4 linked regions of the Caenorhabditis elegans genome follow. The protein of the gene in region 2 purifies or fractionates together with the protein of the main gene of each other region. This does not show direct contact. Each region holds a gene or a part of one and is shown on either strand. Other genes may lie near its edges. The genes, in order: madd-4, eva-1, slt-1 and unc-40.

Region 1 (5,451 bases), 5.9 Mb from region 2:
CTCTTGGAATCAAGTACAAGTACAACTACGAAAATGGAGTCATCTCTACAAAGAAAGAGTTCTTTAATACACTGAATTTGTAATGGAAGACAAAAAGGAAGAAGTTTAGTAGGAATGTGATTGATGAGAAATTCCGAAAAAGAGTACAAATGGACAAAATGTGTATATTGAAGAAACTGTTAGTTGTGTGTAGAAGGGGGATTGCTCAACTTACTCGTTTTACATCGAACTTTTAGACATGAATAGTAAAGCTTCGATTAAAAAATAATTATGTAGATCTGAAATTCTTTTCTAGACTATACAATTTTTAAATAATATAACAGCAAGTATTTTCATTTAGCAAGTACCAAACGAAACTTGTTGAGTTTGTCGAGCTTGTAAAATTTGCTTCGTACACTAATTTTGGCAAGCTGTTAACTTTTATGTAGGCTAGAATTAAATGAAAAATACCATTTTTTGGAAGTTGAATTTTTTTTTAATGTAAAAACCAGCAATTTCAGTTTCAAAAAAGTTGTTGCAAATCTCATCATTTTACGCTCACACATTCTACCTAATGATTTGGCGTAAAGTGCCTTTACCAATTCTCCACTTCTTAATGGAGCTCACCTATTTGTTGCAATACTACATGGTATTCCAGCATAACATGTTGTCTCTTGTCTTGGACGTCCTCCTTCATCACAATCTGAACCTCCAACACATGCCACGTGACGTCGTCGCACTCCTTGGCCACACGAAGCTGTACATTTTGACCATTTTCCGGCTTCCCATCGTCCACATGATGTTGATACACAGTTTTCTTCGGCTGCCTGAAAGTTATCATTCAGGAAAGTTTTAGAGAGATTTCTAAATTATTTCTGAAACATGCAAGTAAACAAAAAAATTTAGGAAAGTTGTTTTTTAAAAAGGCAGATGATAACGCTAAGAAATCTGGAAAATTTGCGTCTGTAACAGAAAAACAATATATACAATTATAGTGGCAAGGCTTTTAAACGTTTTCGCCCAAACAATATATTTTTTGGAAAAATACTTGAAGTCAAATCTGGAGTAGCGTATTCTTTATACTGACCCTATAGGCCGAAATTCAAAAAAAGACCTCTTAAAAAAACAATTTTTCAACAAATTTTTTAACCGCCATAAAAATGTTTCTGAAAATTTCAAGAGGTGTTATTATTAAAATTGGTGTTTTGAAAACATTTTGAGAATGCTCCGCTCAAGCATTAATAAGAAGATCTCTACTTAACATCTGAAACAATGGCTAAAACTTTTAACAACTAACCGGTCTTGTTCCATTTTCACAGAAGGTATCAGGAACATGTACTGTAACATTATGCGCCGTCTGTACACAGTAAACCTCTCTTTTTCTTGTCCCTTCACCACAATGTGGTACACATTCTGTCCAGTCTGCAGCCATCCATCTGCAAGTTTTCAGTTCATTACTTCAAAATCCATAAATATTCAAATTGACACACAGCGTCTAATAAAGCAAAGAGATGTCAGTCTCAAATTATCTAAAAATTGAACTTAGCCATTCCTAAACGATAAAAATATTTATCGAGAAAATTCAAATAGAAGTGAATGTGATATAGAAAACAAAAATAAATTGAGAAAAAATAAAAAATCAATAATCCCCGTCATTCTTATGGGGCACACTCTTTCAGCTTACCACACCCTGATTTGGGATCTTTTTGGAAAAACTCACCGGCATCTGAAATTATTAATTAAAATCAAATTAGCAAATCTAATTTAGGAAACGATATAAAGAATATTTCTTGAAAAAGGAAATTGGATATTCAAAAACAATTCAAATTATTAAAATACAAAAGTTAACAGAAATTTGAGTTCGGTTTTTTGTTTTTTAGAGGTTTGTGCTTTTCAAAAAGTACAGACAACAACTAGAATTTAAAACTATTTACGAAACTATGCACTTAAGCATAAATATAAAATAATTTAAAATTTCAAACCTTGAAGGGCAAATCAGCATTGGGCATGGTCTTGCTTCAACTTTCGGTCTCAATTTATCAGCACATAACTTTTCAGGAACAACTCTTCCAGTTATTGCATTTACACATACAACAATTGGTTGACTAGTTGAAGCAATTGAACGTCCAGCACCTGACCAGTCAACTATATCATCACAATTTGAAGCGCATGCAGTGTATTCTTCTGGAAATCTTAGTGTTTTGAGTGATTGTTGTAAATCTTTAAAATTCTACCGGAAACTTTCCAAATGAACTTTCCATTGTCACACGTATCCCCTCGTCCTCCACATACTCCACAGGCATCAAATCGAAAAGATGAACTAATCAATCCGTCACAGCCAACGATCTGAAATTTGGGGAAAATAATAATTAAAACAATTATATTTAGTAACCTGACAAGACCCTTTACTGCAGACAGCTCTACTTGTTGCGGCCTGACACGGCGTTCCATCATCAACTCTCCAAAGAAAATTTGCACCAGTTAAGCGTGATCGGCATACCACTTCGCACTGAATTTTAGTTCTTATTTTTTCACTTATAGGTGCTTGAAAACTGTTCATGTATGATTCACAAACTTTTCAAAAAAAATTCAAACTTTTCAACAATTATTTGGCTTTTTTAAATCTACACTTGAAAACTCAGTTTTCCGCATTTTTTAAAGATTGTTTATATTTAAACACTCTAGGGATTCAAACCTGCAGTACAACTCGAAATTTCTCAGGAAGTCCACATTTTTGGAAAATTTGGAAATTTACCACAACTTTTACAAAATTGTTAGAATGTTATGTATCATGATATGTGGATATTATTGAAATTTAGACCGTTAAAAAATTAATAGTTTGAGAATCCGAAATTTTTTTTTCGACATTCATAAAAAATTGAGAAATCGAAAAAACAACACTCTTGCTGCAGGGCTGAACGTTTTTGCGTTTTTGGTTATTCGGTACATTTGTCCAAATTATTTTTTGACTACTACTACAAAAACTTTTTTTAAATAAATGTTTCTTCACAAGAAAACATTATTTTGAAAGTGGTTCATACATACCTGTCCCCTGGAGACTATTTCCTCTCCTCCACATATTGTATCCCTAGCTAATCTAGATTTTGACTCGCAAGTTTTTTGAGCACAAACTTTGAATCGAACTGATTCTCCTGAGCATTTTGATGTCAAACAACGTCGTAACTGACGAGAAACTCCGCCACCACACTGAAAATTTTTTTTTTCTGAATAGCTTCTCTGTCCGATTACCGTTTTAGTACACGAACTCCAAGGACTCCATGCCGCCCAACTAAGAGCATCCACGTGGAAACTCGCAATAAGCAAGTAAAATAGTAAAAATACTACGGTATATGAACACTTCATTTTCATTCATTTTACACTTTGTTTCATTGTTTTTTTTCCTTTTTTTGTGTAAAAATTAACAAACGCTTGAATTGTCCTTGGCTGCAAATATTTTTTTGGAAGTTTTATAAAAAGAAAATATACAGATGCCGGAACTTGAAGAAAATATTCGAATTTCAAATTACCAGTTAGAAGAGAAAGAATGAAATAGAGATAAATGTATTAAAAGATTTATGTGGGCTTCAACTATTTTTTGGATAGGAAAATTAGAGGGTTCGAAGAAATAGTTATAGAAGTTTTCCACTTTACAATAGCACAGGTGATTCGCCGTTTGTAAAATACTTATGACCTCCAATATTTTAGATGCATTTTGCAAATCGCGAATTTCGCCGCGGGACCATTAACATTTTAGCAGTATTTTGGTAATCGCGACTCTCGGTGATCGCAATTTGCACAATATTTGCGATTTTGCAAGTATTTTACTATATCGCTGGTGCCTCTTGTAGAAGCGCGCGAACTACATTTCATAAGTATTTTAAAACCCGCGAATCACCTGTGAGTTGGTTGAGCCAAATTATAGCACTTTACCTCTGATTAAAACAAAAAGAAATTTAATTAAAAAGAGTAGCTGTAGAGAAAAAAAACATTAACGTAAACTAAGTAAGTGGGCCAACAATCAACAAAAAAAAGCAAGAAATTACAATAAATATTTGGCAAAATTAGTTTGAATTCGTAGAAATTTACTCTCCTATGAACATGTGGTTTCTCAACCCATTCCAACATTTTTTAGTAATTATTTCTAAAATTAGCAATTCATTGATAAGTCGTGTTGAGTAACTCCTAGACAAAAGTTTTTGATAGGAAGCAACAAGGCGAATGGCGAGCCGGGATAGAGGTAGTAACAAAATTTATTCAATGTACTCAAAATTATCTGAAAGAAACAGGCTAAATTTACCTGGAATATATGCCAAATTTTCCAGTTTAGTAATTTATTACTCGTTTTTTTTTTTGGAATTTAGGTACCATCTTAGTCGATGGAACACAAGTTTTGTAATTTTTTTTTAATTTTGAACAACAACTACGTTATTGAAAGCTTTTTGAGGAGTCTCTTGGAGAAGTTTTATTCGTTTAGACCATGATGCAAATCAATTCAAAAACTTTTTAATCAATTCAAAAACTCCACTACTTATTATATGAAAGTTACAAATATTGCAATGGTTAAACTTCGTTGCTCAGGAGAGAAGAAAAGCCAAAAGAAGAGGAGAATGTAGGAAAAAATGTGGAAATCAAATCAAAAAGTGTCAAGGAACACGTTGGTATTCTGACTTCCAATAGACTCGGGCAGCACACTTGGGAAGGAAAAATGAAAATGGAAGAGAAAAAATATTCATGATACCAGGTTGTAATAAAAACTCCAAAAACGATAACTACAAACTTCAAAAAAAGAGCTGAGCAAAGGTTAACCAGTGTCTGACAAAACCCATTCTTTCAACCAGGCATAGGTATTCAATAGTAAACGTTTTTTTTTCTTTTTTTTTGAAAAATGCAGTAAATCGGAAAACTAGGGGCAATTCAAAATGGGAAATCGACGACCAATGGGATTTATGGAATGAGGACATGACTGGAAAAACAAAGAAGAACTGCAAAAAAAAAGAATTGAACTAATTTTTTGGAAAACACAACTATTATAACTGAAATATTTTTGCAGAAGACTATTGAACAAACTTGAAAAGTAAAAAAAAAGTGAGAATGAAAAATTGTAAAAAGAAAAAAGAAATAAAGACAATAGAGTCACCCCTACTTCTTTTCAGGTAACATATTCTGCGACTACAACTCATTTTCTTTTAAAATTTGAAGGGGAAGGTTTTTGAATTCTGACGTCTGAATTTTGGGTTTTTATGAAAACATAAACACATTTCTCACTAAACTCTGGTAAATCTATTCTGATCGACGCCGAAGTCAGGCTAATCGACGCAGGTACCCCCAGCTTCGGCATACGTCGACGTCGATTAGAAAATTGTCTAAAATCGACCTGGATCATAAAATACTTTAAATTTCATAAACATATCTGGATAAATTTTAAAAAACAAGGAAACGGGAAACAAACAACTTTTGAACAACATTGTGCCC
Region 2 (7,905 bases):
AACAAGTCGAGTTTTTCTGATTCATCCTGTATGTTCTCTAAAAGAAAGTTTCAGCTCGGAAAGAACGACGGTTCTAGTTATCATTGTGACTCTTTTGATATTCATAGCTTCACTGCCAACTGGCACCGCAACAGTTTTCTCATTCATCTACCCTGATCTGGGATTTTTGTGAGTGTTAAGACTATGTCTACCGAAAAACTACATGGTTTTTTGTTTCAGCTTCCTACCTATGAATCTTGACGCGGCATTACATTCTGTTCTGGCTCTGAATGGGTCTATAAATTGTTTTATTTTCTATGCAATGTCTATACAATACCGAACAACTGTAAAGCATATTTGGATAAAAGTCAATGTTGAAGGTAGAGTAGCAACTATCAGCAATGGATTGCATCGTCTTTAATTGATTCGAATATATCCTCGTCGGCAATGCCAGATATTTTAAGCAAGATACTGCCTTGCGATGCACCATGTTAAAATGAAGTGTTTTATTATTCTCAGTTGACGTGTAAATTCGCCCTGAATTTGCTAAAATGTGTCTATCAACTGAATCATTATTTGTGACTTTAAAATGTTTTACTGAAACAATTTTTATATCGAAAGCAATGATTTCCAACAATTAGAAGTGACTAGATGAACCCGTAGAAGTAAGACAAGAGTTATGGATGTGAGAGGAATTAGATTTAAAAATCATAGTGACTATAATGTGGATTGGATGTTGCTGCGGAACCCATCGAAAATCGGAGGAACTGCTCGTCTTCAATGTCTTGCATCATGTGCTGTGGAGTGATTGAGCCACCATCTAGAGGTATAGCGAAATTGCAATATATGTAAAGGTTGTAAAGTACTTACAATTACTTGACACCAATTTGCTAGTCTCCAGTGACCTTCTACTTCTGCTTCTCCTTGAGCTCCTCGAACTATCCTTGTTTGAGGAACACAGTCGAGTGATGATACACGCGGAGAGCACAACAATTGCAGCCATACTCACGGCTAACACAATACACATGACCGCCTTCTCTTTGTTTTCTGAAATCTAGGATGATTTTCTGAGAATTATTTGAAACTCATACCTTTAAAGAACTGAACAACTTGAAGAAGATCGTGCCCAACACCCACTAGGTTTGGTTCCACTCTTTCCGTTATTGGAGGAGGATCTTGCTTTTCCATTCGATACTCGTCATGGGTTACATAGGAAGCTACAAATTGAAAGTTATATAATATCAGTTTAGTGAAAAAAAGCGATACCATCGTTAGCAATTTGATGTACATCGGGATCCTTAGCCGGCTCACTATCCACCACTCTTTCCCACTGTGTCTTATCATTGACATCCTTGAAAAATCGTTCGTCATCCTGTTTTTGCATTGCGTCGGCTTCCTGAAAATTATTTTGAGAAACAGTTTTCAAAAACAGCGTGCCCTCTATTAATATGGCACTTCTGTTAGTTTTGCCCATCTAACAGAGTTGCGCCATCTTTTTTAAAAAAAGTATTGTATGATTTAATGATAGAGGAAATACTATTACTGAAGCGTATGCTGTTAAATTTTAATCGAAAATGTTAATTAACCGGACGGACCTTCAAATAAGTTTCCAATGAGGTCAGCTCGCCTTTGATGGCCTCCTCTGAGAATATCTCCTCGTTAACTGAAAATATTCTACATTATCCTTAAACTTGATCTGTTTTATTACCACAAACATAAACGACATGAAGATGCCCATGTCTGCAATGACCTTTTATGCCATCACTTTTTAGTGTGCACCCTTCCTTGGCGTGGCATTGACGAAGTACTTGAGGTAAGACGTCTGAGACGCATTCTGAAATTTTTTTGATTAAATAGTAAACGATAATTCTATTTTTCCTTCCACACTATAGTTTTTCAAAAAATTCGATACAATGAGAGTCTTGACATCTTTCCCATTTTCCGTCAATTCGTACCAAACGGAAATCCTACTTTAGTATTCACCCTTCTCGTGTGTTCCTCCTCCACCACCATCCCATTTCATTTTGAACCCAAAGCCCCGGATCTTCAGAAGACAATTGTCAGAGTGTTTTCTGGCTACGTCTCTTGCTAACCAGTACTATCTTACTTTTAGCTCATCGGGAGGCTCAATGGAATGGATAGAAGAAGAAGATGAGGCTAATTGGATGTGTGTCATCAACTCACAATGGGAAGAATGAGAACAATTGCGAAACAGTGAAAGTATCAGAAAAGAGGAAATAGAGAAAAGGTGAAGCACCTCAAGCTCTGCATTTTATCAGAAAGCATAATTTGTTTAATTGGTCTTTGTGGTTCTGTTTGACAAAATATCTTTAAAAACTTTTCAACTTACCATGTCTAATTTCGGTTTCGGGATCACATTGAGGCGATGTCTTCATTTGTGCGGAATACACAGCCAACCGTCTACCTTCCCTACACTCTAAACGAATCTCTGGACGAGGTGGATCAGTGGGCTTTGGAGTACAAAATGTTTCCTCATCGAAAGACATTGGAATGCAACCATATGCCATCTGAAGATATTTTGAAGTTGTTGGGCACGGATCATCTTCAAATGTGTTTGAATCTACGACAACTGTACATTTTCGGCGCTTATCGCAAAGTTCCGATATTCTCTGAAACTTATGATTTCAATTGACGAGTGTTTGGCATTGATTTACCGTATGAGCTTGTATCACATCACAAGTACTTGAGTGATGGATCATTGATAATGGATCTAGATTAGCTTCGGAATGCTTTCTTCCAGCCTGTGGAGGGCATAATTGGTTTTCTGGGACCACGCGGCCATAAAACCTGAAAACTTGTTGAATGAATCTAGGATAGATTGATAATTTTACAAACCCGGTTTGTACAGAAATCTGTGTATTTCTTGGGCAGCTTAACGTGATTCGTTCTCCATCGCAAGCTTGAACTCTATTGGATCGAAGTGACTCTCTGAGGATTCCTGCAAAAATGATTGTATTTTTGATTTTAAATTCCTCCGCAAAAATTTTTTAGAAAAAAGCGGTTCGTTTTCGTTTCGGTCCCTCTCGATCACACTCGCTGGTGTGAAGGTCACCAGGTACTAAAACTGAGAGTGACTGAGTAAACGGAGTGAATTAGTCGGTGTCAGCGTGCGAAAGAAAAGAGAGGTCATAAAATGGACCCCCATAAAGTTTTTGAAAAACGTCCGATACTTTGGGCATAAGTGTGTGTGAAAGTTTTGCGAAAAATGGAATAAACTGACCATGACTCCTTGTTGAACTATGAATTGCTATTAGTTTGAACAAAGTTACCATATTAAATTATTTCAGCACTTTCAAGTTTTGCCCTAAACAGCTAGCACAGTTTCGAATCTTCGAAGATACATCTTGTGAGCAAATAATAATGTTTATCGACAATAAGCAAAGCTTCACTTTTAATTTCCAAGCAAATCATTCCACCTTATCCTTTTTCAATTCAACTAGCAATTAGTAATATCTTGAACAACAGCAGCTGGCGGCTTGCTGATTCCTCTTTTTCCTTGATTTCTCTTTAAAAAACGACACCTAGCAATTAACAGAGAGGAGAACAGGCAATATCCAATCTGGCTTCTTAAGAAATAAGAAAGCATCAGTTCCAATTATGCGCTGTGCTTAGTGAACTGGAAAAAACAGCGGCATGCGAAACCTACCCAGGCGAGCCCGAACAAGTAGAGCTGCTGAAAATTATCGGTTTTGTGGGGTTGCAAATTTTCAGATAAACTTTTGTTTTGGAATATATATATATATAAATTTTCTTGTCGAATGCCGTAGTACATGACTTATTAAATATGTGCATCTTTCATTTGCTATGATATATATCTTTTTGCGCAAAATCGACTACATTAAAATAAATTTTTAGAATAAATTATTGGCATTTAGAGTTTGTTGGGTTATTTCTAAGGCTTAGTAAGTTTAGCAAGTAACTTTTGCGGTGTCCCTCCGCATTTTCCCACGTAAATTCAGCACAAGCTAAAGTTATGCTGCTTCAAAAGGCAGGTGTGCTCTCACGCAAAGAGAGCAACCGAGGAGGCATGTTCCGGTGGCAAATGGAAATGGGCTCGTATTTCAAGTATTGGAATGGATTGGAATTGCCAAAATGTTTATGTATTTCTACGGATCTGCTGCTGCCAATCAGAACAAAATAAGGAATTTGCCAAAATTACGTTCAATAAAATCTCAAGCTATAGTTAAACATTTTCTTTTCGTAATAACGTTCATGATTTGACATTTAGTTTCATTTGTTTTTTTTTTCTATTTCTCGTTTACCGCTGAGCTCTCTGCTCTCGCGGAAGCTGTCAATTGATACATAGCCATTAGCTCCCTGGGTTCTCAGCATGACCACGTAAAAACCCTCTCCGTGTGGTGATAATGTTGCTCTGAGAGCAGCGGGCGAGCTTTTCTCTTTTTACACACTCGACACGCATGTTGTGGGGGGCTCGGAAGCTGAATGAGCACTTTTTTACGGGAGGATTTCGAAATGTTTATTATTTTTACAAGGTGGTAGTAAAATTCGATTGCAACATCCCAACTTTGAAATTCTCAATAATTCTCGAAGATGATGTCCATTTTGTTTAGAGGAAGCTGAGTGGATACTCCTCTTCATCATCATCATGTTCATGTCATGACCCACTAGATATAGAAAAGAGACATTTGTTTATAACATTGTGCACTTAACTATGCTTATTACGCCTTCTGCTGCTATGCATCCGGAAAAGAGGAAGGCAACAGACCCCCCGGGTAAGGGATAAACGGGTGAAGGGGGACACACACTCACTTTATACAATTATGGAATTACGGGGGGCCTCTCTTGGAGCTAGAGCAGTAGAACGCAAGGGCGGAAAAGGAATTGTTGCTAATGGAGATCTTCGGAAAGGAAATGGAGGTTTCGAATTTTCGACGAACTCTATTTCATTGTACTTGAATTACTCTTATTCAAGCCCCTTGTTATTAAAGGTGGAGTAGCAACAGTGTGGAAAGTGTTAAAAAACTACTACAATGGTACCAAAATAACCGAAGATCATAATAAAACTTTCCAATATTTATTTGAACATATTTTATTTACTGTCAAAAAGTGACAATTACTGTTATTTCCACTCATAATTTTGGAAGTGGACCAGAATAATTTTTTTTTCCTGCATTTTTTATACTTTGATTTTGTTTTAATTATTTGTATCAAAAAGTTGTAGGGGTGGAAACATGCGACACATTGGATTTCCTCAAAAGCTCATATTTTTCAAAATTTTAATCATTATAAGTGTATTTAGACAATACCTTTAAGAAGATGAATTCAATACTAGAAGTTAGGAAATTTCTGACCTACAAATTTCAACTCATCATGCGAGGTATAATAATAGCTACGCAATAAAAATGACGGCGCGAATAGATCATCATCTTGATGAGTGATGAATGTGTTCGTTTAGCGATAGGTTTCTACTTCAAAAAACGCCTTTCAAAAGGAAGAAGGCTGGGAAAGTATAAGTTTCAAGTAGAAAAAAAAAAAAACAAACCTTCGATTGGATTAACTTCATGATGATGTGATCCACCAATAAATCCGCTTTTCAATTTACCATCAGTTACGATAATTCCAAACCAAAATAAGAGCAAAACCGGGGAAACTATATGCATATTCATGACAATTCACATGGGAAGCTGTAAAATTATTTTTAACTCCTTGGAAAAGTTAAATAAAAGTATGACAATAACAATATGAGAACAAAAATCACATAGGTTAGCTGTCAGCCTTGACGAAAAGAAAACGGGACACTCTGAAGAAGCAGAGGGACATGCAAAAAGGGGGTGGGGTTTCCCAAGCCACGCCTCGTTGCCGAAACTGAACTGAGAGAACGATAATCATATTTGAAGGTGTCAAAAACGGTTGTCAACAACAAAAAATGGAGAAAAGGAGATCAGTTGACTACTCTCCTCCCGGAGCACCGCCTTGATGTTGCAGGTGTTGGGAAGATATTTGGGGGAGAGGCAACTGGGAGGAGGGGACAAATTGTTGTGAGTGTAGTACACACCCTATTGCTGTTGTACACAATAAAATCGAATGGAATGCACATTTCGGAGAAGATCAGCAAAAAGTTGGTTACTAGGCAAGGATAAGAATAAGGGGTGTGTGGCAAATATGCCGAAGTTGCCGAGCTCGGCAAGTTTGGAAATTTGTCGCACACATGAAAAATGTTTAATACACATTTTGTACAAAGTTAGATATAAAACCAATATACTTATTTTTTGGGGGAAAATGTCAAATTATCCTACTCACCAATTTCTTTTCTAATAATAATTACAAATTCATCAATTACAAAACTCCTCTATTGTTCTCCCTAATTTCATGTACACCTGCCCATAGTCCCGCAAATTATTAGACTTCAGCGTGAGAAACTGAAAAACCAAGTTGCTTTCGGTGCCCAGCAGTACAACAAAAGCCTAATCGCCCCAGGCGGAGCATGGGGATGAGCTAACCTTTTTCGCCCTTTAGTGGTGTACTCATCCTTTGAAATATGTAGTACAGAGATGAACATCATGACAATAGTCAATTAGTATGCAAATGAGAGTAAGTACTTGAGAATAGTGAGGAAAGTGAGGCATAATCTATGTATTGACCAGAATATATTTTAGCTAGTGTAAAAGAGTATTAAATAACTGTTAATAAGATACATGGAAATTAAATTCAGAATTTCAAATATTTTGGACTTTTTATAATGAAAATACCATTCTGCCATAATGGTTGAATAAAATTGGTTATTAGTCCTTGTTCCTTAAAACCATAGGAAATCCAAAATCATATAGTAAGCATTCGTGAAGGTAATCCGTTGCGCTCTTTGTTGTTCGATTCCCTTTTCCCTTCCCCCTCACCCATTCCATTTTCTATTCAAAAAGTGGTAATCGGATTTTCAGACACATGCCGACGATTCAGGAGAAAACGGCTTTATGAATGAAAAAGAAACGCACCGCCGCCGTGCATTTTAGTCTCTGAGCTCACAAGTGTTGGCTGCAAAGGAGACGGGAAACGGCGATGAGAATAGAAGTTTAAATGTAAAATAAAATAAAAGAAGGGAATGTGAATGACAAGTGTGCTCTTGTCAATATCAGATGTTATTCTTAAAATATAATTTTTTTTGAAAACCAAAAACAAACGCATGTATTTTAAAAAATCTGCATAAACATCCATATCAGGGGTGGGCGGCAATTGCCGTTCTGCAAATCAGCAAATTGCCGGATTGCCAATTTGCCGGAAATTTTCAATTCCGGCAAAATGCCGTTTGCCGGAAATGTTTAGAGGGATTTTTTTATAATTGGGAAACACTTAAAACTGTACCTTTTTGAAATTTTTTCCGTTTTCTTTAGATATTTTCATAGAATTCGCTTACTTTTCAAAAAAGGCGTAGGGACATTCATAGGATGCGTACAATTTTTCCCATTGAAATTGAAGTTCTGGAATTTCCGAAAAAAAATGTAGAAAACCACAATTTGCCGAAAAGTTTCGGCAAATTCGGCAAATTGGCAATTTGCAAGAAGTTTTCAATTTTTTCGGCACATTGCCGATTTGCCGTCCACCCCTGATCAATATGAGCATACCATGTATGCTAATCGTCACTAATCGTTGAATAACCTTCCATGTTTATAACACATCTGGTGTGGTTCATTGCAGCTTAATGATTTACCGCATTAGGGACATCTGTACATATAACCCTTACATACAGATGATTTAAAGATAAATGGAACATACAATAAATAAAAAATTAACTCAATAGGTGGAATGATTAAAGGTGGAGTAGCACCAGTGGGGAAAGTGTTAAAAACTACTCCAATGGACACCGAATATCATAAGGAAACTTTCCAAAAAAACCAAAAAAACTCAATAGGTGGAATTATTAGGATTTTTCTATTGCACACCCTGCTACAC
Region 3 (5,365 bases), on a different chromosome or scaffold from region 2:
TCATTGTTTCCGAAATTCAAGGAAATAATTTGAAGTATTTTCCGGTGGTAGGACTGTTTGCTGGTTTACTAGAGATTCCGCAACATCTCAACTTTTGGGAAAATTTGTAGTCAGTTAAAAACTTTTTTTCAACGTAGGAGCTACGTTGAAATTTCAGATTGGCTACATGTGCAGTAAATGCAATATGCTCAAAAACTGGGTGCGAAACTTTGGTCAAACTTTGGGCTTTCATAGGAAGCATGAGCGGTTTCAGAGCCTGACGCCTGCCTCCAACCTGCAAACCTCACGTCAAAGGCTTGGTGTTTGCACCACATATGGCGAAAGGCGGTTCTTTCAAAGCGGCCGACAGTTTTCGGGTTTCGCGCAGAGTTATACAGGAGGCAAGGAAGGTGTTTTCGCGCCTGCATAAAAGCCTTGTTCAAAGCTTTGTGGCAAACTGTGTAGATTAGCGGTATTCTACGGGTTTATTTCATTTGTCTTATCTAATTGCGCAGATTCTGTTTAACTTTTTCAGGAAGCAACGCTCCTGCTTTTGATCTCACCTTTGCATTTGAACTTATTTGGCGGTAAAGTTGCAAATTTCTTTTTTCTCAGCCGTTTGGGTTGTTCACATCTTGCTCCACTTGTTTCAATATTCTTCTGTAAATTTATTTGCGCCAGCCATTGCAAATTGCAATCACAAATCAGTGGATTCTTGGCAAGATGCAGTGTACTCAAGCTGGTAAGATTTTGAAATGTTACTTCACTGATTGACTTGATATCGTTATCATATAATGACAACATGCTCAACTTCGGGACATGGTCAAATGTTCCCCTCCGAATGCACGTCAATTGATTGGCATTGAGGAGTAATAATTGTAAACTTCCAAGTCCCTCGAAAGTATCCGATTTCAAGTCGGTTATATTATTCCCGTAGAGCACTCTGGAATACAATTTGATGAGTTCGAACAAAAGTGACACCAATGAACTCACAATGTGTGCAGATTGTGAAGACCGAGAAACGCTTTCGGTTGGATTTCAGTGATTATATTTTTGCTCAGATCTCTGAAATCAGAAAGATGCAAAAACTGAAGACGCTAGATGAAAATAAACTTACAGTCGTGTCAAGTTCTTCAGATTTTTGAAGGAGTGAGAGGGAATTGATGAAATCTGATTTTGTTCGAGTCTTCTGAAACAAAAGAAAAATTTTCAGAACATTTTTTGACACTTCTTGGCACTCTTGGAAAGTTTACAGGTTCTCTTTTTGTTGTTGAGTCAATGTTTTTTTTTCTAAGACAATTAAATAGATAATATTGTTAACTTCCTAGAAATACGTTGTCTTGATGTAGTTTTAAGTTTTAAGAACGACGCTCAAAAACTTTAAGAGATTCTGCAACTTCTAACCAGATTAACAGCAACTTTTCGAAATTTTTAATTAAACGTAAAGCTATTTTCTTTAGAAAAAGTACTTTAAATTGGAATTTTTGAGCAATATGAATTTTGTAAATTTTCAAAAAAAAAAGCGTCACACATCTCTGATACTTTCAACACTTTAAAACAAAAATCACGGGAGGCTTCACAAAATAAAACCAAAAATTTCCCTATTTCATGTATAAGTTAACCTATTCAATTCATTTGAAAAAAATTTACAAGAACTTACATTTCTGTGGTAGACGGTGGAAGGTTTGTTGGTACGTATGTCAACCCGGAATCCCGACAATCTACAGTCGTTCCAGTGCACGTGCATGGTAGTGGACAAATTTCCGCAGTTTCGCAGGTTTTCTTATATCTACGTTTTCGGTTTCCGGAACACGTCATAAACTGAAAATTTGGAAAATATTTAACAACGTTTTTTTCCTTCAAAGTTAAAATTTACCTTGTCTTGGAGAATTTCTATCGAGGACCCTTGCAAGTTGAGTGGAGTTGCACAAACTGTTTTATTCTGCCCCTCTGCTTTTTCTAGCCATTTTCGCATCCATCTCAAACGGCAATCGCAATTCCAAGGATTATTGAAAAGGTCCCTTAAAAGCAAACTTCTTTAAACATTCTATGGTATGCTCTTTTTTGAAAACAAAAACAAGCAACTTACAATTGTCGGAATCTTGCATTTGAGGGCTCTTCAAATGTTGTTAATCGGTTTCCATTCAGTGTAAGTACTTCTAGAGACACCCAAGAAGAAATCACATTGTTCTCAAGACTAAAAGAAGAGAAAGGAAAATAGAATAGCCGGATTGAAAAAAACTTACCAGAAGATATGATTTTTATCCAAGTTCAAGACTTCCAAAAATTCAGGACCTTGTAGTTGTGCGTCAGAAACCACTGTTATGTCATTTTCACTCAAGTCTCTGAAAATGAAAATAATAACTAATTTGATTTTTTTTTGAAGAATAAACGTACAAGTGAGTAAGTTTCAGATTGTTCTGAAACACGTTATCTGGTAAATGGCGTATACGATTTCTGCTTAATCGCCTGAAAACTAGAGTTTATTGGTTTTCAAGACTACGAAACTTACAGCTTTTGAAGAAATACCAGAGAACTAAAACTTTGATTGTGAATAGTGACAATTTGATTGTCCATAAGTTGTCTGAAATTTAATATTTAATTGAAAAAAAACGGGTTGTTTTGTTTTATTTACTGTACTTCAAAGTGAAGGGCTGTGTTCTTGTTGCAAATATGAACCGACAAAAATATCGCAAAAATTGCTCTATTGAAATTGCGCCAAAAAAATTAATTTGAAGCCATGATGTTATACTAGACGTTAGTTGAGTTTTTTTCAGTTTTCCCAAACAAGATCTGATCTTAGGGATATTATCTCAAGTGTTCAAATGGTTCAACTTTAAAATTCGAGTGGTTTTAGGCTGTCCTATCACGGTTTGATCTACAAAAAATGCTGGAAATTTTGGCCCACAAAAAGTGACGTCAGAACGTTCTTAACCATGCGAAATCTGTTGAGAACCCTGCGTATCAACTCCCAACTAGACCTACGTAGATCAAACCAAAAAGGGACACTCTGACACCAAGTGAAACTTACAAAGCTTTTAAATTCATAAGACTGCTGAAATCGTTCGGTCCGATTTTGGTTATTTCATTGTCTTGTAGATCTCTGTAAACAACATTTATAATTTTTTCAACCATGGCAAACTAACAATCTAATTGTATCATTCGGGATATTTTGTGGAACTTCTGTGAGTTGTTGGCCAACACACGACACAGTTCGGTCCACGCACACGCATTCTGCCGGACACGTGGCACTTTCAGGTATAAGTAGAATAAATATGAAGCAAATCAGCATTCCGACATCCACAAATCCTTGGGGACAATGAAATTAGTAGTTCAGTTCTGCAAAATGAAGTTTAGACAAGTGGCGGGTGGTCCACTAATGTTTTATGAGATGTTTGTCTTGTCCTCCCATCCTGCCGGTCCATTAACACAACCTCGTGGAGACACGATTTATGTGTGGAATGGCGGTGGTTGTGAGGGAAAAAAGAGTTGGGATAGGGGTGGGTACGGACACGAAAACTTTCCGGGAAGGGTAGAAAAAGAGAAGCAGCAGAAAACTAGAAAGAGCGAATGTTTTAGTGTGATAATGAGACATTGGGATAGAAGACAAGTCCCACTTTCGTGCATCTTCCACACACCACTTAAACCAACACAAATGACAGATAAAAGAAGAGTTGTAGACTTGTGTGTGTGTGTGTGTGTGTGTGCCGGATGAGAATGAGAATGAAATGGGGTAGGCGGGTGACATTGAACACAATGATGATAAAGAGATTCTGTTCTCGTGTCTCGGAGCAAAACAATTGGATGGATGAGATAGCTATACTGATGGGTGTGTATACTAACTATTACCATGTGCACTTATTTAATATTCATCGGGAATGATAAAGTAGATGAGGAAGGGAAAATGTGCGAGGGTTCACACATTGGTTAGTCGTCTTAATACTTTATTAATCTCGTTGTTTGGATAATTAGCGAGAGAAACACAAGCGATATTGGGGGATTCAAAATTGTTTTAAAGGTGGAGTACCGAAATTTGAGACTTTGCTTTTTTAGACCAAAAGACTCCGAAACTACCAAATTTCGTAATGAGATGTTCAGAATGTTTTTCAAAAGAAAGTTATGGCCGCTTAAAGTGTTGAAAAAAAATGGTATATTTTTCAGCTAAAATCTCAAATTTTGGCAACTTTTTAGTTCGTTTATTGGGATGCTTTTTCGGTCGATGCGGGCACAAAATTGTATCATATTTGTGCCCGCATTGACCGAAAAACCATCCCAATTGACATAATTAAGGTAATTAATTGCGAAGACCTACACTAAAAAATGATCAACAAATAAAAATTAAGTTCCAGCCGCTGTGACACCGAAAAGTTGATAAAAGTTGAGATTTTAGCTGAAAATAGACACTTTTTTTCAAAAACGTTGAGCGGCCATAACAAAGTCTCAGATTTCGGTACTCCACATATAAAGAAAGGTACATGTAGTGCATGGCCGTGCTCCAAAAATATGAACTTTTGAGGAAATCCAAAGCAATGCCGCATGTTCAGATCCCTACAATGTTTTAATGCGAATAATTAAAACAAAATTATTATATAAAAAATGTAGAAAAAAAATTTTTTTTTGGTCGACTTCCAAAATTATGAGTGGCAAAAACTGTTTATTGTCATTTTATGACAGTAAATAAAAAAATTCAAAAAAAAACAATTTGAACATTTTTATTATAATATTTGGTCGTTTTGGGACCATAGGAATGGTTTTTAACAACTTCCCCACTGGCACTACATCACCTTTAAATACCTAACCTAACATTATGAATTACTCTTCATTTTTAATAAAAATTAATGGAAATATTAAATTTACGGTTCCTACCTAAATAAATGTTAAGGTATTTTTTCTCAGTAGTGCCATTTTAAGAAAAACAACAACCACTCATCAAAGTAACAGAACACATTTGGGAGAACAAAAAATAAGGGCGCGCTGCTTCATTTTTCCTATATAAATTGTCTCATATTACACGTTTGTTGAAAAGAGCTTTTGTTACTATTGCGAGAAAAAAATTGTAAAAGAAAAATTGTCAGTTCAGAGTGTTGTGGTTAGAAAAAAAATTGTGCAAAGGTATAAGAATAATGAATATATTTTAATTTTTTTAAACATCCAGAACAAGTGAAAAATAAACAAGTTGCAGTATATGTAATTGGGCAAATTAACATTTGCAAGAATTATGCACATTCTTCCAAATACCGTATTTCCTCTATTAGTATTGCACCCATTGTTTAACTTTTACAGCTCATATCTCAGTTATCGTTTGTTCAATTCAAAAATTGGTAACTATCAAAATATTTGTTTGTTTTTTTCTATTCTTTCGTAGTTTATAATGTATTTATATCTT
Region 4 (5,632 bases), 9.1 Mb from region 2:
TTCAATGCCATTTGCATAGTCTTCAACAGAACCTTGAGCCTGTCAATCAATCGTCTTGACGACATCCACCCATCGTTTCTCAATTTCGATCGAATCACCCACAGTCGCCTCTGATTAATGACCATGACAACAGAAGAACGACTACAGGCCCGGCAAAGACAGCTTCAGGAAAACAATTGTTGACCTAATATTACCTAGCTCTAATGCCAGAATAATAATGGTGACATGGCATTATAGTAGGAGGAGATACATGACAAATGGCAGGAAATTGTCGCGGATACGTCTTTGGCGGGTGGTCTACTTCTGTTGAATGTTGTGAAGGCGAAAATAGTATCTGGTTACACAATATATAGATACTTTGTAAGCTTAAACCAACAACTTTAATATTAACAGAATCTTAAAGTGGTAATTTCAAAGCAAGGAAATTGAAAAATTGGAACATATAGTTAATTGTGTGAACTTTTTTGATTCCAATGTGTTGATTCTGTTCTGATTGTACTTTCGGTTTTAAGCTTAATAACTTTCGGTCTATTTCCGGCAAATTTCATAACATTTCAGTGGCCATTGGAAACTAAAACAACTACAAGTTATGAAATATGCAGAAAAACAATTTCTTGCACAACAAAAGCTTCTCAACAATAGACTCCAATCCTCTCGGTCAAAAGTGTCCTTCCTATGCACATATGCATGAATAAGCCAGGACGAAATTTTATATGTGCATAGAAAGACACATGTAAAAGTCACTACTTCCACTCGCTTGCATGCTCTTGAAGGGATTAGGAATAGAAGAAGGAGAAGAAACAAGTGTATATACACACATTCCGATAGAACGGAGATACACCATCTAAATGAGTTATATGTCTCAATGTCATTTGCATATTTTCGAAACTTTGACGAGAATCCACAAAGGAGTCCTTGTGAAGAATGTGAGCATCCGATTTTATTGGTGAAATAAGTTAAGAGTGTTCAAACAACCATATACTTGGAAAGAAGGTTAAAGATTACAAGATAGCACAATTGATATCTTTTTTTTAACGAAAAAGTCAGCTTCAACCCAATTTAAAAGTGTGAGCTTTTTCTACCGAGGTTAAAAGTGCAGTAGGGATATTGTTTAAAACTGATTTTATACTCAAAATGTCCAAATATCGTAACAAAAATTTCAAAATATTTTGACATGTTTTTTGAAATCATAATTTTGGAAGTCGATCAAAAAAATGTTTTTTCTCTACTAGTTTCATATTTTAATTATGTTTCAATTTTTCGTATGTAAAAATTCTAGGAGTTCGCCTATAACAATTACCTAAAAGTCCACATTTTTGCAAAATTTGCCAAACGAATGACGGTGAATATTGAAAAATCTAATTTTTTTTAAAAACTATTATAAGTGTATTGACACTGAACATCAATTTAAATCGAAAAAATTTTAAACCGAACAAATAGTTGTAAAAAAACTCACATTCTAGAAGATGTCCGTTCACTGAGCAACACACCATCACGTTTCCATTCAATTCGGACATCGTGTACAAGTCTCTCATGAGCCAGAACATAACTACATTCTAATAAATGAGACGATGATTCCATAACAGTCACATTCCGTCGTGGTTCCATTACGAATTGAAAGCCAAGATTCCGAGCATCTGAAAATAAGGTTTTATAAAGGATTTCCTTCAGAAAGTCATTCGTATTGTTTTTTTTATCGAGAATCTTATGACCATTTATATTCCGAGAAAGGTTTACGAAACGTATACTATTATAATAATAACCATTCATTTTTCTTCCTCAGTCATTATTCCATACGTTCTCACATGCTCGATAAATTCTTTTGTGATACATGCGGCATCGTAGAACCTTTATTTTATGAATTCACGGAAAAAAATGCAGTTAAAAACCGAAAAAGTCCTTATCAATTGGGGAATACTGTAAAATGCCACTTATCGCGTCTAATTTTTTTGTTGATATTTTTCTGTACCTTACTAGTTAAACTAAATTATCCTTATTTTTTTCCAGAATTAAAACATATTTTCACAACTGATTTATTATTTTGTAGCTTTCTCAGTCTTCAACCTTGACCATTCCGAAATAACAATAAACCCAAAGCGTCCTTCTTTCTCTTCCGCCGCTCAAAAATTGGAGCCAATTAGTTCACATTTTCGTAAATGTTTAGAAACAGAACTTTGCTACTCATCAATAAGAAATCATCATCATTTAAATGATGAATGAATGTATTCCCGGAGCATTATGCAATCAAGGGAACACCATCAACTGAAGACCCGTGTCCCTCATATTGCCTCATCCATCAATTGAAATCGAAAGGGGATGGAAGAGAAAGATTTGTGTGGTGGAAGCTAAAGAAGATGATGGCATTTCGTTTTGTGTGTGTGTGTTTGTGTCACAATTCATTCCAAGAGTAAGAAGAAAAGAGAGAGAGAAGACTTCATGTGGAACCATTGGGACCCACACACACAATAATGAAATGAACGAATCTGGTGGATTTTGTGTAGAGATTACAATCTTTCGAACATCAAACGCCTAGAGAATCTGGGGAATTGAGCTATCCACTTTTGGTTTGTAGTGAAAAATGCTACAATTTGGCGTCAAGTTTTCTTTAAAGGTGGTACCCACCGTGGGGTAGTGAAATAAGGCCCCGAGTGACGGAATGAGGCTTCTCAAAAGCGGAGTCAAAATTAACTAAAATTTTAATTTTTCCCTAAACCGCCATAATTTAGAAAACGTTCAAGATGTCTCTCTTCTGGGGACAAAAAAATCGCTGCTCCATCTTTAAGGTGTGAAGGAACTAAAAGATTGCTGAACAACTCTGCTAGATCGGAACTCGAAAATTGAGAATAATTTTGAAAGAAGGTTTTTTCAAAGTAAAACCATTAATTCGACGATAAACTAAGTGTTTTATAGGTAAGAGTATTAAAAAAAACGTAACTTTTCTTGGATTTGTATTATTTTTATGGAGTCAATTTTTTTTAAAAATAGCCACAAGGTAGTTCAGTGCCAAGTATTGACTTTAAGATGATTTTTATTTATATTTTTCTATTTTCAAAATTCCATTCTTGAATCGATAAATTATGTTGCCGGTGACTGACACCTTGACAGAATGCCAGATGGTCATCTTCCTTCCCCCATTTTAATATATTTTTGAATTCAAATGTGAAAAACTCTCACCATTATCAATCGATCGACGATGATGTTTCCGTGTTGTGGCATGAGTAGATGACAGATAAACTGTCAGAATTATAAGAATGAAACCTGAAAATTATAAATAGTAATGAAGTTTTATTTAATTTCCTTTTGTTTTCTTTCAGAGGTTCGGGTTTAGATACTTCGTTTACTACGAAATTATAGGATTTTAATTTTATTTGTATCAACACAAAAGTGATAACAACAATATTTAAAACTTTTCCACGGAGAAATTATTAAAATTGATAAGATAAAAAGATGGAACTCACCGAAATGTCGCAAAATCATTTCTACTGAATGAATTAAATAACTTCTGTCGAATTATCGCATTCTATTGGTGATGCAGAGGGTCTGAAATAAATAATGTTTTTATTTACCTTTGGATTTTTTGAACACATTTTTTGAACACAGAAAAAAAGATGGAAAAGAGGTCGTTAAAAATAATTTTGAATAGAAAATAAATATATTTAACGGAAAAAGAGTCAAAAACAGGGTCGAACGTCGTCAAAAGAGCTCCAGAAGTGTCCAGCTGAAGGGGTGTGGCCTTGTGGAATGGACACTCTCTCGTTTCTCTGCACCCTCTTCATGTTGTTAATGGAAGGATAACTGTCTGCACTCTAACCTCTCAAATGTCGTTGAAAGCGTCGCGTATGCGTCGCGTGTGCGCACTCGAAAATTTCTTTTTAATCGTCTTCGCGCCATTTGCGATTTTAAATTCCTTTATTGATTTTTAATGTAATTTACACTTCTTTCCTTCGAAAATTCAATGTTGGTAAAAGGTTTTTTGCCTTAAAAATATATCAAGTTTAATGCTTAATGCTGCGTTTACTGGCGCGGCCTAAATTTAAACATTTACGATTTTGAATGATTTCTGTAGTTTTGACCTGTGTTATCGATCAATAATTCGGAATTTTTACCAAAACATATTAGGTGCATTTGTCATGTTCTTTTGGTACTTCCAGTAGTTCATTTAGGCGTTTCAAAAGTATTTCGAAAAGTGTCGTTTTTGAAGAATTTTATTTTATCGAGAATTTCTGACACGGCGCAGAAAAATTTCTTCAGTCTCTCTCAGCTTTAGTCTCAATTACGAAACAACTTTTTTCTATTTCAGAAATGTCCGATAAATCCGGAGGGTTTTTCTCATCGGTTGGCCGCTTCTTTTCTGTTGGAGCTAGTGCCACTAAAAGCAAAGACGGCGATAAGTCGAATGATGAAGGTACATCCAATTCGTCTTCAAAATCGTCTCCTTCTGCGTCTCCAGCATTGAAAAATATATTATCCGTAGATAATGAAGCTAAAATAGCTTCAGGTAAGTTTAATCACATTGACTTTCATATCAGTACATGGCACTAGAATTTCAACTCATTATTTTTTAAATTCCAGATGAAACTTCAGTGAATACCTCACAAAACCATCGCATCGGATCACGTCTTCGATACCTCAGTCCGACTGCATTGGATCGGCGTACGAGTGCATCCAATGGCTTAGAGATCGATGTGGACGCTGTTCCAGATATTTTCTTCAGCACTCCTGCGGTTTCCACGGTAAATTTTTAAAGTTGTCTTTTTATTAATGTGTTTTCACAGAAAAATTAGATTAAACCTGTTGATAAATGCTATCGAAATATTTTTTTCCAGAATCGCAAACGTCAACTGACAGAGCTCGACAAGCAGATTCTACCACAATCGTTTCGAAGTGAGAGTGTGAAACGAAGTCGATTCCTGAACAGATCATTACTGGAACCAACTCTTAATAGTTCAATGAATAATGAGAGGAAAATGGATATGACTTGGTGTGGAGAGTTAACTGCTAATCATTCTCCTGCTTCATCTATCACAAATTTCTCACTTTTGAGCCGACGAAGTGGAGCAACTACCAACGGGTCATTAAGTACAAGAACTCAAGAAATTTTCAAAAAGCTTGAAGGTGCAAATACACCCGCGAAAGAAGTTCAGAGAATGTCAATGCTTCGAGCTGGCATTGCTCGACCAGAAAAATGGGGATCGTTTAGCGAGAGCAAGGTTCCAAATGGTTCAGCAACTGGCACACCACCACCTCCATTGAAAAAAGCTGGAGACGCAATTCCATCTCGTATACAGCTCATATCAAAGACTATGGGAATGTCCGCTCGACGTGCTCCTTATTGGACGGATTTAACTAGGAAAAGAACATCGTCGAAAAATGGAGACACTGGATCTTCTGATTCAATGAAATCATTGAACGGAAACTTTGCGACTGCAGAGGTAACCTGGATTTTAAACACTTGAAAAAAAATGATACAAGAATTATGAAAAAGTTTTTCTGGTCAAATTTTCTAAAATTAGACACGAGATTATCACAGTCTAGTATTTATTTTTAAACGTTTCATTGGGAAATTTTCAGAAATTATAACAAACTTAAAATTATGATAATTAAATTATTCGACTTTATCTTAACTTTTTTA

The links.
Region 1: the proteins of eva-1 (region 2) and madd-4 purify together in Caenorhabditis elegans (affinity purification with western blotting, with the first as the bait; one study listed by BioGRID). This does not show direct contact.
Region 3: the proteins of eva-1 (region 2) and slt-1 purify together in Caenorhabditis elegans (affinity purification with western blotting; 2 studies listed by BioGRID, with this or other methods). This does not show direct contact.
Region 4: the proteins of eva-1 (region 2) and unc-40 purify together in Caenorhabditis elegans (affinity purification with western blotting, with the first as the bait; one study listed by BioGRID). This does not show direct contact.

What each region holds. Positions count from the first base shown.
Region 1 is NC_003279.8:8,938,863-8,944,313, forward strand, and holds the start of madd-4 (Protein madd-4), read right to left. Parts: upstream 3,426-5,451; 5' UTR 3,343-3,425; coding exon 3,229-3,342; intron 3,187-3,228; coding exon 3,025-3,186; intron 2,489-3,024; coding exon 2,372-2,488; intron 2,326-2,371; coding exon 2,214-2,325; intron 2,164-2,213; coding exon 1,962-2,163; intron 1,706-1,961; coding exon 1,700-1,705; intron 1,416-1,699; coding exon 1,277-1,415; intron 807-1,276; coding exon 607-806; intron 1-606. UniProt on the Caenorhabditis elegans protein: Component of an extracellular matrix cue that is involved in the guidance of dorsoventral midline migrations and in the specification of postsynaptic domains at neuromuscular junctions (NMJs).
Region 2 is NC_003279.8:14,829,195-14,837,099, forward strand, and holds eva-1 (SUEL-type lectin domain-containing protein), read right to left. Parts: upstream 5,628-7,905; coding exon 5,504-5,627; intron 3,674-5,503; coding exon 3,647-3,673; exon of another isoform or gene 2,939-3,646; coding exon 2,836-2,938; intron 2,788-2,835; coding exon 2,655-2,787; intron 2,610-2,654; coding exon 2,330-2,609; intron 2,195-2,329; exon of another isoform or gene 2,077-2,194; intron 1,814-2,076; coding exon 1,688-1,813; intron 1,643-1,687; coding exon 1,575-1,642; intron 1,376-1,574; coding exon 1,246-1,375; intron 1,197-1,245; coding exon 1,071-1,196; intron 1,027-1,070; coding exon 850-1,026; intron 800-849; coding exon 681-799; downstream 1-680. UniProt on the Caenorhabditis elegans protein: Acts as a receptor for slt-1. Required for the guidance of the AVM pioneer axon to the ventral nerve cord.
Region 3 is NC_003284.9:14,672,281-14,677,645, reverse strand, and holds the start of slt-1 (Slit homolog 1 protein), read right to left. Parts: upstream 3,319-5,365; 5' UTR 3,272-3,318; coding exon 3,126-3,271; intron 3,083-3,125; coding exon 3,011-3,082; intron 2,564-3,010; coding exon 2,492-2,563; intron 2,449-2,491; coding exon 2,377-2,448; intron 2,325-2,376; coding exon 2,226-2,324; intron 2,177-2,225; coding exon 2,069-2,176; intron 2,001-2,068; coding exon 1,856-2,000; intron 1,801-1,855; coding exon 1,640-1,800; intron 1,169-1,639; coding exon 1,097-1,168; intron 1,045-1,096; coding exon 973-1,044; intron 923-972; coding exon 543-922; intron 1-542. UniProt on the Caenorhabditis elegans protein: Functions as a ligand for sax-3 receptor during larval development. Acts via the sax-3/Robo receptor to direct ventral axon guidance and guidance at the midline during embryonic development.
Region 4 is NC_003279.8:5,687,964-5,693,595, forward strand, and holds the start of unc-40 (Netrin receptor unc-40), read right to left. Parts: upstream 3,541-5,632; 5' UTR 3,478-3,540; coding exon 3,459-3,477; intron 3,259-3,458; coding exon 3,175-3,258; intron 1,638-3,174; coding exon 1,457-1,637; intron 1-1,456. Other genes in the region: npp-7 (RanBP2-type domain-containing protein), read left to right, coding at 4,303-4,498, 4,573-4,733, 4,827-5,432.